Linked DNA regions of Caenorhabditis elegans. The protein of the gene in region 2 purifies or fractionates together with the protein of the main gene of each other region. This does not show direct contact. Each region holds a gene or a part of one and is shown on either strand. Other genes may lie near its edges. The genes, in order: wve-1 and toca-2.

Region 1 (10,597 bases), on a different chromosome or scaffold from region 2:
TTTTTAGGAAATTTCAGATTTTTCAGTCGAAAATGCAAGGTTCTGTTGGTTTTTCTGACTGAAAAATTAGTTTTTTGGTCATTTTTCGAGAAAAATTATCAGTTTTTCGTGGATTTTAAGAGAAAAATATGGATTTTCCAGTCATTTTTCGACATAAAATCTGTTTTTTGCTCTTTTTCCGAGGTTTTTGGGAGATTTCTTCTCAAAAATTCCAAAATTCCATCTCCGCACCTGTCCAATCAACGTCTTCTGTTTGGACTTGCGATAAGCCTCGCAAAGCCGATCAAGATTCACGTGTCCAGGCAATGCGAGACGTAGAATATCCTCAACAAAAGAATCCATAATAAAAGCATCATTGATCGCAGACATTCCAACACCTTCCCGTCGAAACCAGCATGGTTTACCACGTCGTGTCTCCGAATTATCCATTATATCGTCGGCGATCAGGTAGAAACTTTGAATCTGAACGAACGAAAAAATAGGCTCAGTTTTCGCGCGGGCTTTTAGGCTTAATTTCGGGCTTTTCTTTAAGAGGTTTCGGACAATTTTGAACGTGTAGACCAAAATTGGGCTTAAATAAACGAATTGGCGGTTCAAAACGCACAGATTTTAGCTAAAATCTCGAATTTTGCCCACTTTTCTGTGTGGCAGCGGTTTGAAGTTGATTTTTTTGAAATTATTATCCTTTATTGGCTCAACTGAACGAATTTCGTAATGACACTGCTCGAAAATCCAAATTTTTCACTAAAAATCCGAAAAAACCGATAATTTTTTGCAGTTCCTGAAATTAAAATAACCGAAAAACCGGAATTTTCTCATAAATTACCATAAAATGGCTTTTTTCCATAAATCCATAAAAGCATGTTAAAATCGGATTTTTCAATAAAATAACCAAAAAACCAAAAATTGAAGGTTTTTTCGCCAAATCACCCAAAAAGTCCAATTTTTTCACTAAAAATATATCATTTCGGTGATTTTTAGTGAAAAAAATTGGATTTTTTGATGATTTAGCGAGATTTTTAGGTTTTTGTACGGGAAAAAAACCTCCAATTTTTGGTTTTTTGGCTTTTTTTATTGAAAAATATGATTTTCACATGCTTTTTTTAATGGAAAAAGCCATTTTCTGGTAATTTATAAGAAAATTCCAATTTTTCGGTTATTCTAATTTTCAGGAACTGCAAAAAATTATTGATTTTTCGGATTTTTAGGAAAAAAAAGATTTTCTCGGTGATTTTTAATGAAAAATTGCATTTTCGAGCAGTTTCATTACGAAATTCGTTCATTTGAGCCCATTCTCCTTCAATTTAGTCGGGTTTTCTCTCAAAAAACGCCGATTTTCCATCTAAAAACTGACAATTTCAAGTGTTGCAGCAGCTTCACACACAGCTTGAAGCTCCTGAGTTTCATCTCTTAAATGAGGCTGTAAAGCCCGTATTGTGTCAACGCATAGGGATGCTCGTGAGTATTTTCCGCCGATTACAGTGTTGTCGAATAGCTGAAAATTTGGGAATTTTTGATGGAAAATACTGGATTTTTCGCCAAAAACTGACCAAAATCGTGAAAAATTGGCTTTTTTTTGGAAAATTTACTGCTTTTAGTGCAAAAAATACAGAATTTCTCTGGAAAACTGCTTTTTCCTCCGGTTTTCGGCGTATTTTTTGCTGATTTTAGTGAATTTTCAGCAGAAAATACGGAAAAATGTGCAGGAAATTCGGTATTTGGAGTCAAGTTTTGACTTTTTCTCCACTTTTTCTCCTTTTTTGGTTTTTTAGCAGAAAATTTTGAATTTTTTGATGGAAAAAACTGGATTTTTAGTTAGAAAATCAAACAAAAACTTTTTCTGCTGGTTTTAGTGCATTTTCTGCGGCGAAAAATATGAAATTTTCAACAGGAAATTCGAAATTTGGAGTGAATTTTTGACTTTTTCTCCACTTTTTTCTAGTTTTAGTGTGAAAAGTGCCATTTTTCCACGCATTTTAACCGAGAAAATCGTCTTTTCCGTACATTTCTACATCTATACTGAACCAAATCGTATTCCATTCCATCAGCAGGCAATTTTGCCGCCACAACCCGTACGAATTTCTTCTTAACTTCGCCCAACGCCGTTTCTACCAGCTTTCTACTGGCGAACATTGCTGCTGAAAATACGAGAAAATTAGAGGGAAAAATGGCAAAAAAAACTAGAGAAAATGAAAATTTAGAGCCGTTGCATCATTATTATGAAATTTCAAGCTGAAAAACCGGTTTTTGAGCAAATTTTCGCCCAATTTCGAATTTTTCAGCTGAAAACTGAGCTAAAATGAGCCAAAAAACACGATTTTCAATTGAAATTTCGAGAAAAAAAAAGCTAAAAATTGAATTTTCGAATAATTTGGGAATTTTGGAGCTCCGATGCGTAGAAAACAAATTTTTGCATGAAAAATTGCAATTTTCTGCGAAAAATCAAGAGTTTTCCAGGAAATATGTCCAAATTCCGCTGAAAATTTAAATATTTTCGTAAATTCGAGAGAAATGATGCAAATTTCATAAAAATGTGCTCCAAATTGGAAATTTCACGTTTTTTTTCCGGAAAAATCGATTTTTCACCAAAAATTGAAAATTTTAAGCGAAAATTGAAGTTTTCCTACATTTCAAAGGTTTAAATTGATTTAAATTGAAAAAAAATCGAATAAAAATTGGAAAAACTGATGAATCATAAAATTGCGAAATAATAATGAGGGGGCAGGCGACCACTTGGAAATTTAAATTTACAATTCTGGAGGGGCAAAAAATGAGAAAAATCAGTTCATTTGAAACAGGAAAGCGGAAAAAATTTTAAAAATTTTTGAATAAATAAATTAAAGCAAGGCAGTATTTACACAAGAAAATTCGAAAAAGTGTGCGTCGATTTACGCAGCTCGTGTAGTCCCCGAGGAGAAGATTTTACAGTTTTTTGGCTTAAAAATGCTTGATTTTCGCTATTTTTCTATCAAAATTAACATTTAAACCGGTTATTTATAGCGTTTTAAGTGAAATTTGAGCGATTTTAAAGTTTTCACCGACAAAAAAAAACCGTGAAAATAGCGAAAATGGCTCAAAATCAACCATTTTAGCAAAAAAAAGTACTTGATTTTGAGCCATTTTCGCAATGTTCACGGTTTTTTTTTTGGCAAAAATCAATGAATTATTTTTATTTTTAACTTTAAAAACACTCAGATTTCACTTAAAAGTGCATAAATAACCGCTTTGAATGTTAATTTTCAAGTAAAAATAGCGAAAATCAAGAATTTCAGCGAAAAATCGTTTTTTTTTTCACCGAAAAAATCAGTAAAAATGCAAAAATGGGTAATAATGCTTGATTTAGAGCTATTTTCACGGGTTTTTCGCTTAAAAATCACCGCTTTGAATGTTAATTTTCAAGGAAAAAATAGCGAAAATCAAGCATTTTTAGCCAAAATCTGTAGAATCTTCTCCTCGAGGAGTACACGAGATCTGCGTAAATCGACACAAAAGAGAGCAATTAATCATCCCATTCATCATCATCAGCTCCTTCTTCACTACTTGAATCATCATTTCCCATAACTTGATCCATTCGTCTCTTCAATATCGCCGCAACATTATTCGCCTCGAGAGCAGCATTCTCGGCGGCTTCTGCCTCGGCTCTTTGCACTTTTTTCAGCTTTATTCCAGATTGAATTTGAGCCAAAAGATCACTTCGAGCATCTGGTTGTTTTGGAGCAACTGGGGAATTTGTGCCAGCAGCTTCACCGTCCGCGGATGGCTGAAAATTTCAGTTTTAGTGGGAGAAAATCGATTTTTTGATGAAAATTCGGCTATTTCTCTTGAAATTTGTCCCTAAAAAAGCTTCAAAAAAGTCCAAAAAACACAGGAAAACTACACATTTTCAGCGGGTTAGACACACATAGAGCCCTGCTGTTCCAGCGCCTTTACCTTTGGAGCCGGAGCTGCAAATGACGCTGCAGCCGAGCTTATAACCATTGGAGGTGGTGGTGGAGGTGGTGGAGGGATCTGAAAGGGATCGAGAATTGAAGAAAGAAGCGGAAAGTGGACAACAATGAGGGAAACACAAAAATGGACAAAAATTGCAAATTTTTAACTGAAAAATTCGGGGTTTTAAGCTTGGAAATTGCAGAAATATAGCTTCAAATTAATTTTATGCACTACAAGAAATCTTGGAGCTTTTCACAAATTTCCAAGCTTTTCCAAGCTGTTTCAAGCTTTTTAAGCTCATCGAAGATATTTCAAGCTCAGTCAGGCTTTTTTAGCTTTTCCAGGCTTTCGCAAGCTTTTTCGAGCTCGTCTAAGCTTTTTGACGCCTTTTCCAAGCTCTTTCAGGCTTTACAAGCTGTTTCAAGCTCGCACGAGCATTTTGAAGTTTTTCCAGGCTTTTTTAAGCTCTGTAAGCTTTTCGAAGCCACTATCGTTCTCTTTCAAGCTGTTTCAAGCTGTTTAAGCTCATCGAAGCTATTTCAAGCTCAGTCAGGCTTTTTCAAGCTTTGTCAAGCTTGTTCAAGCTCCTCCAAGCTTTTTCAAGGCGTTTCCAAGCTTTTTCAGGCTTTTCCCAACTCTTTCAGGCTTGCTCAAGCTTGGTCAAGCTTGTTCAAGCTCCTCCAAGCTTTTCCAGGTTTTTCCAGGCTTTTTCAAACTATTATAAGCTCGTTAAGCTCATTCAAGCTATTTCAAGCTCTGTCAGGCTTTTCCAAGCCTTTTCAAGCTATTACAAGTTCGTTTAAGCTCTACAAGCTTTTCCAGGCTTTTTCTTGCTCTTTCAAGCTTTTCCAAGCTTGTTCAAGCTTTCTTAAGCGTTTTGGAATCTTTTCCTGTCTTTTGCAGGCCTTTTCAAGCCTTTTCCAGGGTTTTCCAAACGTTTTCAAGCCATTTCAAGGTTCTCCAAGCTTGTTCACTATTTTTTCAAGCTCTTTAAGCTTCTCCAAGCTAGTTCAAGCTCTGTCAGGCTTTCCAAACTTGTTCAAGCTTTATCGTTCTCTTTCAAGTTCTTCCAAGCTAGTTCAAGCTCTGTCAGGCTTTTCCAAGCTTTTCCAAACGGTTTCAAGCCGTTTCAAGCCTTTCTAATAGAGTTCAACCAATTTTTCGTGATTTCGTGGCCCAAATGAACAAATTAAAGCGAAAAAGCGAGATTTTGCCTGAAAAAGGCTTAAGGCTTCTAAACGCTCATAATAACTTAGAATAATAGAGACTTTTCACATTTTCTAGTTTTTTCAAGCTTTTCCAAGCTTTTTCGTCGTGAAAACGGACAATTTAAAGCAAAAACGCAAGCTTTTTTCCTCGCAAAAACCAAGATTTTACTCCAAAATCTCCAAATTCTCTCGAGCTCCAAAACGTACATTAGTCGGCGGAGCAGCACTCGGCTCGACAAACTGTATCGTCGACGGAGCTTCTGCTGGTAACTGATGTACAATTGATGTATTCATGAGAAGCGGTGGTGGTGGTGGTGGAAGATCATCATCATCATCATCAATCGATAAAATTGACATATCCGGTGGTGGGAGGTGATCCAGATTCACTGGCGGCGGAGCTTCAGTCGGACGTTTAACATTCGGAGATCCACGAGCTGCTGCTGGAGCACCACCTCGTTGTTGGCTCGGATGCACATTTTGTTGAGGATGATGGTGCATTGTCATTCCGATTGGGGCAACCATGTTGGAGGGGTGCTGAATTTATCAAAAATTGGGAGATTTTCAGTGGAAAAAATCGTTTTTTTCTTCAAAATTACTCCCAGAGAAGGATATTTGGGCTTAATTATCGATTTTTCAGAGTTTTTTTGTCATTTGGAGCATGAAATTTCTTAAAAATTCACTGAAAACTTCCAAAAAACTCGAGTTTTCAGCCTCAAAGACAAGCCAAAATCAATGAAAAACGTTTTTCAACAGAAATGTTTCACTTTTTCACTAAAAATATGCTGAAATTGATAAGTTTTTTTGGAAAAATCCCTAGAAACCGTACAAATTAATTATAAAAACCCTATAAAATCGAATTTTTCAACGAAATCCTCTAGAATCCATAACTTTTCAGCTTCAAAATTATTTGTTCCCATTGAAACTTTCGACTTTATAGGATTTTTATAGTTAATTTGTAGGGTTTCTAGCGATTTTTCCAAAAAAAAAATTATCAATTTTCGCATATTTTTAATGAAAAAGTGGCACTTTTCTGTTGAAAAATTATTTTTTCTAAGGAATTTCCCACTAATTTCATTGATTTTCGCTTGTTTTTCGGTGAAAACTCGGCTTTTTGGAAGTTTCTAGTGAATTTTTATGAAATTTCAAGCCCCAAATGGCTAAAAAACCCAAATATTGGCCCAAAATAGAGAATTTTTGCCTTCTCGGGGAGCACAAGAGCTGTGTAAGCGCTGAAATCTCGTTGAAAAGTTGATTTTCTTTTTAAACAATAGAAAATTCACTTTTTCAGCAAAAAACTCGATTTTTTTTCAAATTTTTGGGCTCAATTATCGATTTTTTCCGATTTTCAACGGTAAAAAATCATTTGAAGCGGAAAAGCTGGGACTTCGTTGAAAAATTCGATTTCATAGTTTTTTTGAAGTTAATTTGTAGGGTTTCTAGCGATTTTTCCAAAAACTTATCAATCTTCGCAGATTTTAATGAAAAAGTGACTTTTTCTCATTGATTTTGGCTTGTTTTTTGGCGAAAAAGTGCATTTTTAGGAAATTTCATGCTCCAAATTACTGGAAACCCATAATTTTGCCCCAAAATAGAACATTTTGGCCTGCTCGGGGAGCACAAGAGCTGTGTAAGCGCTGAAATCTCGTTGAAAAGTTGATTTTCTTTTTAAACAATAGAAAATTCACTTTTTCAGCAAAAAACTCGATTTTTTTCAAATTTTTGGGCTCAATTATCGATTTTTTCCGATTTTCAACGGTTTGGAGATTTTCTCTTCAAAAAATCGAAAAATCTCGCGAAAATCTACCTGATTTTTAAAGTTAAGCTGAAGCCCGAGAGCCTGCGGAGCCTGATATTCCTCCGGGAACGAGAAAACTTCATTCTGCTGATTAATCCGTGATCCACTAATCTGTCGATTCCTATGCTGCATATCATTATAGGCCGTCGTGCCGAGAGGGCCTTGTCCAGGCTGCTTCCGCCGCTTTTTCGGGCTTTTACTCCCGTCGTTCGGGCTTTTTACCCGTCTGGGCCGTTCGGCAACCTCTTTTAGTGTCTCCTTTTTCCATAAATCGAAGAAAAACGAGGGATTTGTGTAGAGAGAGAGCGCAGGGATTTCAGAGTCTCTATACGGATTTAGAGCATCAAGATCCGGCGGTGGATCACATTTTGCATATATTTCAGTCAATGCTGTAGGTAAAGTGCTTCTATCCAGAATATGTTGATCTACAAGCATTGAACTTTTGAATGCTTTTCGCATATTCGCTTCATTCAACGTTGCTTGATCGGAATTTGAATCCAAATCTTCAACTTTCTTGTGCAATCTATCAATTCTCTGTTGAAGAGTGTTCGATTTGTGATTTATTATCATTGCGTCGTGATAAATCTCTCCGAAGATGTTCTCAGCGTGCTTACTGCAAAAAAAAATCGATAAAATTCCAGTTTTCCGACCTAATTTCCCACCTCAACGAGCTCAATTGTCGTACTAAATTGGCGATTGTCCCATTAGCAGTACATTGAAGCTCATCACGATGGATTGTTGATGGAATTGTGCCTCTGCTGAGGTTTACCGGTGATACCGCCCGTTTTGTTAGAGGCATTGCTGAAAATGTGCAGAAATTGCGGGATTATGTGGGTGGAAATTGCGAGAAAGCGTTAGAATTCACAGAAGATGACTTGAAATCGAAAAAAAATCACTTTCTTCCCTGAATAATATGTAAAAATCCATGGATTTAATGGAAATTGGCACGAAAATCGTGAAAAAAATTAGTTAAACATAAAAATTCACTGGAAACTTCATAAAAGCGAGCAGCCAAAATCAATGAAATTAGTTGGAAAATTCCACGAAAAACTCTAATGTTAATGGTAAACACGAAAATGCACTGGAAAAATTATAAAATTGAGTTTTTTAAACAGAAAAGCCACTTTTTTAATAAAATTATGCTGAAATTGGTAACTTTACCGGGAAAAATCGCTAGAAAACATATAAAATTGCTTCATTTACATGCTAAACCCACAAATTCACTGAAAAACTTATAAAACCTAATTTTCCAACGAAATATCATAAAATACATAGTTTTTCAGCTTCAAAATTATTATTTCTGTCAGAAAATGTTTTTTTTCATCGGAAAAACTGCAAAAAACGAGGAAAAACCAATAAAATCTCATGTTTTTCAATTAAAATATCATTAATCCAGAAATGCGCCAAGGTGCACCCGGGATGCGTCAGCAAACACTCACGAGAAGTGCGCAAGCGAGCGTCTGCACTCTCTCGAATACATACAGTGTCTCGCTGTGATTCATCGGAAATATTTTCATTTCCGGAAATGTTTTATATTTATTTAAATATTAATTTTTTTCGGTCTAAAAAATGATATACAAAACAAAAAATCGATACAGGAAAATGCGAAAATAGAATGAGATTGAAATTTCAATATTTACTGTTCAAAATATTCAAAATATCGTGAAATGGCGAGGTTTCGGAGAGATGGTCCTTTTTATTTATCAATGAAATTGTTCTAATTCTGAGAAAAATAACAAAATATAGCTAAATTCTCAATTTTCGCCAACTTGGTTGTGTCACAGAAGCTAAAATTCATTTCGAATACCGAGCCCGTACAGTAGTCATTTAAAGAATTACTGTAGTTTTCGCTACGAGGTATATTTCGCGTCAAATTTGTTACGTAATAAGCATTTCACTTTCCCAACAATTGCCGATTTCTTCTCCAAAATATCCCTCCCGTAAACCTACACAAAATCGACCGTAGTGCGGCACGTTCGCTGCGAGACCCGCCGCGCGTTTGGCCTCAATCTTTTTAGGACTGCCAAATTCGATCGAACATTTTTAGTCTGTCTTCCACGCGGAAACACACTCGTTTTTCTTCAAAAAAAAATCTATCATGGCTTCCCAAGGATTCTCCGTCTACGGTAAGTATAGTAATAAATCGGTGGTGAAAATTAAATTTAAATTTGTACAAATTTTGAATATGATACAAAATTCTCAAAACTTCTGAAACTTTCTCACACTTTTCTTCGATGAACTTTTCTTCGACTTGCAGAAAGTATCGATTTCTGATAATTGTTAGCGTTTTCCGATCGGCCTTCGTTCTCTATGGTTCATTCGTGTTCCTTGACAACAAATCCCGATATTTCAGGTAGTCCCCTTCCACGTGTATAAGTATAACTGAGTCTACTAACTGAGTACCCGGGACCCCACACGGATCGCCACACAATTCTGGAAATGGAGACGCCGTTCGACCACAAAAAGTATGGGTGAAGAGACTTTTCGCACTGTCATGGTCTCCGTAGTCTAGGACTAGGATAGGGTGCATTTGCTCTGTAACAGTGCATTGTGAGAGTTTGTAACTTTCTATATATAGGCCAAAACCTACTATTACCCCCGTTTTGCTAATCGATTTTTTTCTAGTTGGAAACGTTCCATACCAAGGAACTGAGGAGGAGATCGGAAACTACTTCGCCGCCGTCGGACATGTTAACAACGTCAGGTAAGAGAACTCAGAAACTCAGAAACTCGGAAACTTTCGATTAAAACCTTGTCAAAACTAATCAATGTCTTCCAGAATCGTGTACGATCGTGAAACCGGACGCCCACGCGGTTTCGCATTCGTCGAGTTCTCCGAGGAAGCCGGAGCTCAAAGAGCCGTCGAACAACTTAACGGAGTTGCCTTCAATGGACGCAACCTTCGTGTCAACTACGCCAACAAGTAAACTGACAACGCCGCCGAGTGACTCAAAGAGATTGCACTTGTGATATACATTCCACCAAAAATTCTATCTTCGTGCATGTTTTTCACCATCTACACTTAAATAATAAATCTTTTTGAAAACTGAAAACTTCGAGCATTTTTTCACAGAGTGCAGGTTTACGGCTCAGTCTTAGGCTTAGGCTTAGGCTTAAGCATAGGCTGGGGCTCAGGCTTCGGCTTTTAGACCTAAAAAAAGATCGTTGCACCATGAGCAAAGTATTATAAAGAAAATTGACTTCAAAGAAACTGACACGTGGTGTCAAAGTGTCCCATTTTGGTTTGATCTTCGAAAAATGAGGGAAAAGAGACGCAGACTTTTCAACTGACGTCACACTTTCCTGGGGAGAAAATTCCCGCATTTTTTGTAGATCAAACCGCAATGAGACAGCCTGACTCCACAGATCCCATCTGAAAACTCATGAATTTAAATAATGATGCATACTTTTACTCTGTTCTGGCTTTGCATCACTTTGAGAGCCTTTTCAAGCTTTTCAGATAAATATTTCCTTGATTGTGCTTGCCTACGAGCCTACGTGCATACACAGAGATTTCGTTCGTACTTTTCTGATTACATCTCGGGATCCGCGGGAGTACTCCACTACTTTACGAGAGAGACCATAGGCTTATCCGTGCTCTGACTTGAGGTGTTTGTCGACACTTGCGGCAGACTCCGAGAAGGATTTAGACTAGAAATACGAT
Region 2 (8,985 bases):
TCAGTAGTTTGGGTGCTCCAAAAACGCCAAAACGTATAAGATTTTTCGGAGTTGGGTAAGTATACTTAATTTGTATTTGCCGAACTTTCCGAGCTCGGCAAATTGTGAGAATTGCCGCACACCCCTGATCTACAGTATTCTAGAACTACAATTTACGGAAATTACAACTAACACCTTCCCTGGTGTTCCACCATACCCTCCATCATGTCCTGAGAACCTCTGCAATACATCTTCCCGAACCATCAACTAGGCCCTCGGTGCCTAAAAATGTTGTAGGCACATTCCCCCCGCACACACATTGCTTCGTATATAAAAATGATATGAATCACCGTCTCCTCATTCTTTTTGTATTGTTTCCCAATTCTCACCACCCCTCGATTGGATTTCTGTATAAAACAGTGACACATCGGAACGTTTCTGTTTATTGAATTTTTCGTCATTTTTCTTTTTCCAAATGTCTCAACAACGGCTTATGGATGAGGTTCATGACGTTTTTCACTTTCACGACACCCTTGGCGATGGAAAAATTGATTCCAAGCAGGTGAGACTTTTAAAACAGAAAAATAGAACTGCTAAGATATTACGGGAACATAAAATTCTGAGAATGCGTATTGCACAACATATTTGACGCCCAAAATATTTCGAAGAGAAAACAACAGTAACTCTTTAAAGGACTACTGTAGAATTTGTGTCGATTTACCGGCTTGATTTTTGAAATCAATTTCTTTAAACTTTCATTCGTTTTTTCGAATAATTTTCTCATGTTTTACTAAATTTTAATATTCAATCATTTACTATATATAAAGCGCGTGTCCTTCCGTCCGTTTGTAGTTTGTAGTTTGATCTTTGATCTTTGGTCTTTGAACTCTGTAGTTTGTAGTCTCAATCACCTAAGAGGGGTCCTATAGGCCCCGCCCCTTTTGTGACGTCATCACAAATTGGCGGGAAATTCAAATTTTCTGAGAAATCATTTTGGCGGGAATTCAAATTTTAATTTTTTTAAAATATTTTGGCGGGAATTTAAAATTTTAATTTTTTGAAAATATTTTGGCGGGAATTCAAATTTTAATTTTTTAAAAATATTTTGGCGGGAATTTAAAATTTTAATTTTTTGAAAATATTTTGGCGGGAATTTAAAATTTTAATTTTCTGAAAATATTTTGGCGGGAATTCAAATTTTAATTTTTTGAAAATATTTTGGCGGGAATTTAAAATTTTAATTTTTTGAAAATATTTTGCCGGGAATTCAAATTTTAATTTTTTGAAAATATTTTGGCGGGAATTTAAAATTTTAATTTTTTGAAAATATTTTGGCGGGAATTCAAATTTTAATTTTTTGAAAATATTTTAACGGGAATTTAAAATTTTAATTTTTTGAAAATATTTTGGCGGGAATTCAAATTTTAATTTTTTGAAAATATTTTGGCGGGAATTCAAATTTTAATTTTTTGAAAATATTTTGGCGGGAATTCAAATTTTAATTTTTTGAAAATATTTTGGCGGGGAATTCAAATTTTAATTTTTTGAAAATATTTTGGCGGGAATTTAAAATTTTAATTTTTTGAAAATATTTTGGTGGGAATTTAAAATTTTAATTTTTTGAAAATATTTTGGCGGGAATTCAAATTTTAATTTTTTGAAAATATTTTGGCTGGAATTTAAAATTTCTGAGAAAAAGAACCTTCGTGTCGAGACCCATCGTGGTGAGACCCTTCGTGGTGAGACCCATCGTGGTGAGACCCATCGTGGTGAGACCCTTCGTGGTGAGACCCATCGTGGTGAGACCCATCGTGGTGAGACTCATCGTGGTGAGACCCTTCGTGGTGAGACCTTTCGTGGTGAGACCCATCGTGGTGAGACCTTTCGTGGTGAGACCCATCGTGGTGAGACCTTTCGTGGTGAGACCCATCGTGGTGAGACCTTTCGTGGTGAGAACTTTCGTGGTGAGACCCATCGTGGTGAGACCTTTCGTGGTGAGACCCATCGTGGTGAGACCTTTCGTGGTGAGACCTTTCGTGGTGAGACCTTTCGTGGTGAGACCCATCGTGGTGAGACCCTTCGTGGTGAGACCCATCGTGGTGAGACCCATCGTGGTGAGACTCATCGTGGTGAGACCCTTCGTGGTGAGACCCATCGTGGTGAGACCTTTCGTGGTGAGACCCATCGTGGTGAGACCTTTCGTGGTGAGACCCATCGTGGTGAGACCTTTCGTGGTGAGACCCATCGTGGTGAGACCTTTCGTGGTGAGACCTTTCGTGGTGAGACCTTTCGTGGTGAGACCCATCGTGGTGAGACCCTTCGTGGTGAGACCCATCGTGGTGAGACCCTTCGTGGTGAGACCCATCGTGGTGAGACCCATCGTGGTGAGACTCATCGTGGTGAGACCCTTCGTGGTTAGACCCATCGTGGTTAGACCCATCGTGGTGAGATCTTTCGTGGTGAGACCCATCGTGGTGAGACCCATCGTGGTTAGACCCATCGTGGTGAGATCTTTCGTGGTGAGCCCCATCGTGGTGAGACCCATCGTGGTGAGACTTTTCGTGGTGAGACCCATCGTGGTGAGACTTTTCGTGGTGAGACCCATCGTGGTGAGACCTTTCGTGGTGAGACCCTTCGTGGAGAGACTCTTCGTGTTTGATATTATATTGGCGGGAGCTAAGGAGTTGGTGTGGGATAATGTCAAGGTACTCTAGGGGTATTGTGGATTTGCTGTAGGGTTACTGTAGTTCAGAAAAAATTGACTTTGTGCTTTTGAAGAGGTATTGGCTCGAGAGTTAGAGAGGCGGAAGCTTCTGTGATATTTTTTACATTCCAGAATGTTTGAAAAAGTAAAAGTTTCCACCTGTTTTCATGTGACATTGTTAAAAGATTATATAGTGTTTTATGTGTCGAACAATTTAAATTTCGCCAGTCGTTGGCCGCGCCGTAGGCGCGGTCAGCGGCTGGTAGATAAATAAATGATTTTAATTCATTTCGAAAGTCGAGTGCGTAAATCGACACACACAAGAGCTACAGTAGTCATTTAAAGGATTACTGTAGATATCGCTACGAGATATTTTACGCGTCAAATATGTTGCGCAAAACGCGTTCCTAGAATTTTATGTTTCCGTAATGAACTCTTTTACAACGTGCAGTATTTTAACTATGTCTACTAGATTGTCGACCGCGGTTGCATCGAGGTCCACCACTAATTTCATAGCATCGAAATTGACCTAGAAACTTTAAACCAAATTTTTAAAATTCAGCTTCCCACAGCTCTCCGTGCCATGATGCTCAACCCTACCGAGGCTCTTCTAGCCGAAGTGAGCAAGGCAAGAACTTCCGGAGCACGCATCACAGTTGAAGAGTTTATTCCTATCTACAAAAAGGTTGAAGCTGCCTGCGGGCGAAGCACTACACTCAAGGAGTTTCAGGTTCGATTTCTTGAAGGTTTTTTAGACAACATTTCCGAATTTTCAGACGCTTCTATCGCACTTCGACCGCGAGGGAAACGGACAAATAATGCTCATGGAGCTTAAGAGCATGCTCCAAAACGGCGGGGAGAAGATGACGAATCAGGAGGTGGACAATTTGCTGTTCGGCGTGGAAGTCGTCGACGGACGAATCAATATCAACAACTTCCTCAACAGGCATCTTCAGATGGGGCTTGAGGAGTCTGAGAAATGATTTTTTGCTGATGATGTGATGTAATGCGGCCTTTCCAAAATTATCGTGCTAAAACTATAATATTGCCTGTCCTTGTGAATAGTAAAACACAATCTGAAATGTGATTTGAATAAAAAGTTAAACTACTGTGTTTTTCAAGGCGCGCGCATTGAAACCTGCGACAGGTCTCGACACGATCTACAGAAATTTGAATTTCAATCACAAATTTACACTCGATCACTCCGCAATTGGTTTTCTGCGAACAAATCAATTTTTCGATGTTCAAATGATTCCCGTTTCTAGATTTTTCACGGTTCAGGTAAAATTCCTATTGATTTCCACTCTAAAACCAAAATTTAAGGACCCATCAAACGCGCTCCTCTCGTACACACAAAAGGGAATAGATTTTTTCGAAAAATTAGGTCAATTCTCGAAGGAAAAAGCTGCGATTGAGGAGGAATATTCTACGAAATTGAGGTTTCAGTTTAAACAAACGGAATTTGAAGTTTTTCATAACTTTCTGTAGGAGTCTCGCAAAGAAATATGCGAAAAAATCGGAAGAAGATGATGAAATTCTAAAAAGTGTAAGCTACACCAGCTCATTCAACTCATTTCTTCAACAACTTGATCAGATTGCCACTCGACATCAAGTATAAGAATTCTGTCAGATTTTAGTTGAAAAAAACATCGAATTTCAGACGTCGGCGGAGCACATCCGGGGAGGTGTGGTTTCCTACGTGGCTTCGAAGACGTGTCAGATGAGAAGTTCCCGGAAAAATGCGATTAATGACTTGAAAACTATCAATGACAAGCTGGAAGATCAGATCAACGAGATGTGCAAGTCTGGGAAGTGTTACCTGTAGGAAAAAATCTGAAAAAAGTCGATTTGAATCGTTAATATTGCAGAAAATCGTTCAAAGACGCGGAAAACTCGTATCAAAAGTTTTACAAAGCTGATAAAAATCTGGAAATTTCGCGGCTTGAGTTAGAAAAAGCCAGGGCTCTTGCGAATGTAATAGGCTCAAAAAATCGCAAAACGCTTTTATTTATTTATTTCAGGCTCGAAATGAAGCATGTGAACTTGCTAAACAGGACTACTCAGCGCTGGTTCGCAAAACCAACGCCGAGCAAAAAAGATACCACGTGGAACTGCTCCCAGTGATTTTCGCGCGGCTCAAGGCGGTCGACAAGGAGTGTATCGCCGATATGCGACAAGTTTTGCAGAAAATTGTCTCCTTCGATGACTCGCTAGCTGATTCAACCGGTTATTATCGCGTTTAGAAGAAAAAATCGACGATGTTTTTTGCAGAAGAATGCCGAAAAATCATGCAAAGGGAAGTTGGGAAAATCGACGCGGAAGGTGATGCTCAGCTGGTTTTGAAATCCGTTGAGTCAGTATTTTTCGACTGAAAATCCGTAAAAATAGATAATTTCCAGAGCAACCATCGAGCAGCCGGCTCCGTTTGAAATCGAGGATCTGGGGGATCCCAAAAATTGTGACAGCCGGACAAATGGTGAATAGAAATCTGTAAAAGTCGGAACTTTGCAGTTTTTGACTCGAAATTTCCTTTTTCTAGAATTTATCTTCTGAATTTATTTAATTTTAAAATACTAAATACATATTTTCAAACCTTTTCCAAATAAAAATACACATTTCCAGATTCTGCCGACGGAAGTGGAGGAAAATTGCTGAAAAGCAGCCCTAGCAAGAATCGAATAATTCGCAATTTTCTGGGCATTCTCAAGGAAAAGGAGGCGGATGAGAAGCCCGAGGCTTCCAACAACGATCAATTGATGTATACCGACAAGAGCAAGCCTGCGCACGTGCGGCTTTCGTGTCTTCGCTCCAAAATTCGAGATATGGAAAAACAGTTGGAACAAGCGATTCAGGGACGAGAAGGCATCACTAGGTACGAGTAGATGCACCGAGAGCACTGAAACTTTGAGAAAATTTCAACAAAAAAAAGACAAACAAATTCTAGTCCAATGAAAGTTTAAATTTACAGTAATCTTTAAGGGTACATACCGGTTTGTATTCAACACAAATTTGTCGTCTCGAAACTGATTACTGTATTTTTGGCACTTAATTTCGCATCTAAGTAATGGAAAAATGATTTTCTCTGAAGTTCTGCCAAAAGTGTAGAAAAGAAAAATAATATCTCTAAAATAGGCGGGCCCAAAACTTTACGTTTGCTGTAATTTCAGACTGCAACAAGCCTACTACACAAATCCGCAGCACGGGAATCCGTCGGCGTGCACGGAACCACTTATATCGTACGCTAAAAAGATAGAGAAGCTCAAAATGGATATACATAACCTCAAGGAGTTCTACGCGATGCTTGAAATGAGTGTGGAAGGTGCTGAAAATACAAAGAATGGATGAAAATGAAACGTTTTTCGTCAAATTTTCGAAAATTCTAGTTAAAATACCTCTTTTCAAAAAATGAATGTCTTCTTTTAAAAATAATCCCTTTAAACACAAATTTTCCAGAAGGCCAGGAGCGCTCTTTTGGCGGCCGTGATACCCCTGACACAACGAGAAGCATGTCAGGCAGTTCGACAAATCAATCATCATCCAAAACTATCGAAGACGTGCTGGTATCACTAAACTGTTCGGTTTTTCCTGAAAATTATCGTATTTTGCAGTCTGGCGAAGCGGGAAATTCTTCATCAGCAGATGACTCGTCGAAGAATATCGTAAGCAGCCAAAAGTTGTTTTTCAGGAAAAAAAACAAATTACTGAAGTCTTACTCAATTTTAAAACTTCCTTATACTTAAAAATATAAGAATTACCGTTAAAGCAAACTTCTAACATGTTGTTGCAACACCGCTATGTGTCGATTTACGCATCTCGTGTACTCTCCGAGAAGAACGGTGCATTTATTTTTCCCAATTTATTTTTTGGTTTTTTGTCTGAAACACTTTAAATTAAAAAATAATTTGGCTATTTCAGCGTTGAATACCAAAAAAAATTAGAGGACATAGTCAAAAACCGATAATACGAGAATTTGAAATTACAGTATTCTTCAATACGTACACCTTTTCGCGTTTAGTACAAATTTGTCGTGTCGAAATACCGTACTTTTGGCGCAATAAAAAATAATTGATTGTTCGTTTAGAGACCCACTGTGCGTTTTTCAGCTCCGCCAACTGTTTACAACTCCGAAACGGCTTATCTCCTCGCCAAAAACCTCGAAGTCTTCAACTCCGACGCCACTACGACGAAGAGCCGAAATCTCATCACCAAAGATTCTCAGATCCTCATTTTCAGGTTAAATTAAAAATCCATTTTTTTCCTTTTAAAAGCTTTTATAAAAGAAAAAATAGTTAAATATAAGTATAAATTTTTTGCAGGTGCCATTCGCAAATCTTTATCGACTCCCGATTCAGTTAAAGTCGAGACAGCGGTTACGGTAACCGCACTGTTCGAATTTGCCAAATCCTCCGCGGAGACCATGTCCATCGAGCAGGGCGAAATTCTTCTCGTACTCGAACACGATCACGGAGATGGATGGACTCGAACCAAAAAGTAATACAAGTAACAAAGAATTACCAAGTAAATAAAATGAAAGTTGCAGGAAACACAACGAAGAGTCAGGATTCGTGCCAACTTCGTATTTGCAATTCCCCCAGTGATTTCATAAATTAAATAGCATTATCATCATCAATATTGTACTCGAGACTGCGCTTATTATCGTCCTGTGAATGAAATAATTGATTATAAAAACAGATTCTTCGATTTTCGATTCATATTGCCATTTACGGAGAAAATGCACATAAAAAGTAATGGTATAATAAATTACAGGAAGTGGGAGAATGGGAGGCACCGCGGATTGTTGAGTTTAAAATGGGAAAAAAACATTGCACAATAAATTAGTAAAAAAGAACGGTTAGGCTATCTAGACAAATTAAATCAGCTTCACATAATTAGCGGGAAAAAGGCCTACGCGGCCGCTGGGCGCACGTCCTTTCCACCATCCGCTATCGACTTGATCGATATCTGTGATAATGTCATCAGGATCAAATGAGATCTCCGTGTCATCTGCAGCCTGGTAGTCCCAGAGAGCCATCGCGTTCTGCTCGGCGACCGCCGGCGGGAAATCGTACTGATCAATTGGTGGAGCAGCGACTTTTATTGGCGAGGATTTCGGTGCAAACACGGGCTCCTCTGGCATCACTGGAGGCATGTCATACTGTGAGGCGATGTGAGCTGGCAGTTGAGAGCTCGATGAGTGAGAGTCGATCGGCTCCGGCGGAGCATCATACTGAGACGCATAGTGGGAAGGAGCTGAAACTGGAGGTACAGCTGGTTCGAAAGACTCGTGAACCGGTGGAGCATCGTACTGGGAGGCGTAATGCGATGGAGCTGGAGTTGGCTCAGGTGGAGGTGGAGCAATGACCGGGGTTGGAGCAAGGAATGTAGGTGGAGCTGGCTCTGCTGGTGGCTCTTCGTATGCATCGTAAGAGACGGCAGGTTCTGAAAATATTCAAATTAGGACTAATAAACTTTATACGAAAACTGACTCATAGCCTCGGGCTTGTAAACCATTGGCTCTGGCTCATAAGCTATTGGCTTTGGCGTATACGTCGAAGGCTCATCTGGCTCAGTGAGTCGGTTAACGGGTTCACGGGGCGGAGAGGTCGTGCCAACTGGCGGCCACTTCTTAGGCGATCCATTCACTTGAGGCTTCGGAAGCACTGGACCGGAAGGTTTTGAGCTGAATAATTCTTTTCTGCTTCCAACGAGACCTGCGCTCGGAGTGGGGGCGGGAGCTGGAGCTGGATTCACCGAAGATGGCACGGGCTTATCACTAATTTGAGCCTTCCCGTGAAGATCATCCGCAATCCGTTTTCGATCCGTCTCGAATTCCTTCTGCTTCTGGGCCTGTGCCTCTTTTTCCTCCGCTTGCCGCCGCTGCTCCTCCTCGTTCATCTTGCTCCAGAACTCTTCGCGAGCTGATGAACTGATCTCCACGTGCGGTTTTGTTGGCTTGTACACCGATGTGACCTTATCCGGTTGATAGTTTTCTGTTTTGGAGTGAATTTCCGAGGCCATTCGCTGTCGATCCGCTTCGAACTGCTTGTGTGCTTGTTCACGAGCGGTTTTTTCTTCTTCTTGACGCCTAAAATTGCGAATTCTATTTCAATAAATTACTCAAAACACCCACAGCTTCTCCTCCTCGTTCATCTTGCTCCAAAACTCCTCCCGTTTGACCGTCTTCAGCTCAACGTGGGGCTTCGTCGGCTTGTACACCGAGTTAACCTTCTCCGGCTGGAAATCTTCGGCTTTTGTGTGAATTGCCGCGGCCGTGCGATCACGGTCAGCTTCATACTGCTTTT

What was found.
Region 1: the proteins of toca-2 (region 2) and wve-1 purify together in Caenorhabditis elegans (affinity purification with western blotting, with the first as the bait; one study listed by BioGRID). This does not show direct contact.

The regions. Positions count from the first base shown.
Region 1 is NC_003279.8:11,921,776-11,932,372, forward strand, and holds wve-1 (Wiskott-Aldrich syndrome protein family member), read right to left. Parts: upstream 7,742-10,597; 5' UTR 7,733-7,741; coding exon 7,596-7,732; intron 7,547-7,595; coding exon 6,943-7,546; intron 5,673-6,942; coding exon 5,346-5,672; intron 4,009-5,345; coding exon 3,931-4,008; intron 3,761-3,930; coding exon 3,500-3,760; 3' UTR 2,766-3,499; downstream 1-2,765. Other genes in the region: fdps-1 (Farnesyl pyrophosphate synthase), read right to left, coding at 232-462, 1,355-1,495, 2,005-2,133; R06C1.4 (RRM domain-containing protein), read left to right, coding at 9,032-9,059, 9,559-9,637, 9,713-9,860.
Region 2 is NC_003281.10:13,752,068-13,761,052, forward strand, and holds toca-2 (Transducer of Cdc42-dependent actin assembly protein 2 homolog), read left to right. Parts: upstream 1-3,876; 5' UTR 3,877-3,931; coding exon 3,932-3,964; intron 3,965-4,006; coding exon 4,007-4,122; intron 4,123-4,171; coding exon 4,172-4,295; intron 4,296-4,343; coding exon 4,344-4,504; intron 4,505-4,551; coding exon 4,552-4,657; intron 4,658-4,704; coding exon 4,705-4,909; intron 4,910-4,954; coding exon 4,955-5,036; intron 5,037-5,082; coding exon 5,083-5,159; intron 5,160-5,305; coding exon 5,306-5,555; intron 5,556-5,850; coding exon 5,851-6,002; intron 6,003-6,136; coding exon 6,137-6,243; intron 6,244-6,291; coding exon 6,292-6,342; intron 6,343-6,786; coding exon 6,787-6,916; intron 6,917-6,999; coding exon 7,000-7,174; intron 7,175-7,217; coding exon 7,218-7,281; 3' UTR 7,282-7,372; downstream 7,373-8,985. Other genes in the region: mlc-7 (EF-hand domain-containing protein), read left to right, coding at 455-541, 3,246-3,413, 3,460-3,666; dbn-1 (DreBriN 1/DreBriN-like (where Drebrin is from Developmentally REgulated BRaIN protein) family homolog), read right to left, coding at 7,554-8,122, 8,170-8,768, 8,814-8,985. UniProt on the Caenorhabditis elegans protein: Plays a role in protein trafficking, actin organization and embryonic morphogenesis. Potentially acts as a cdc-42 effector. May play a role in egg laying.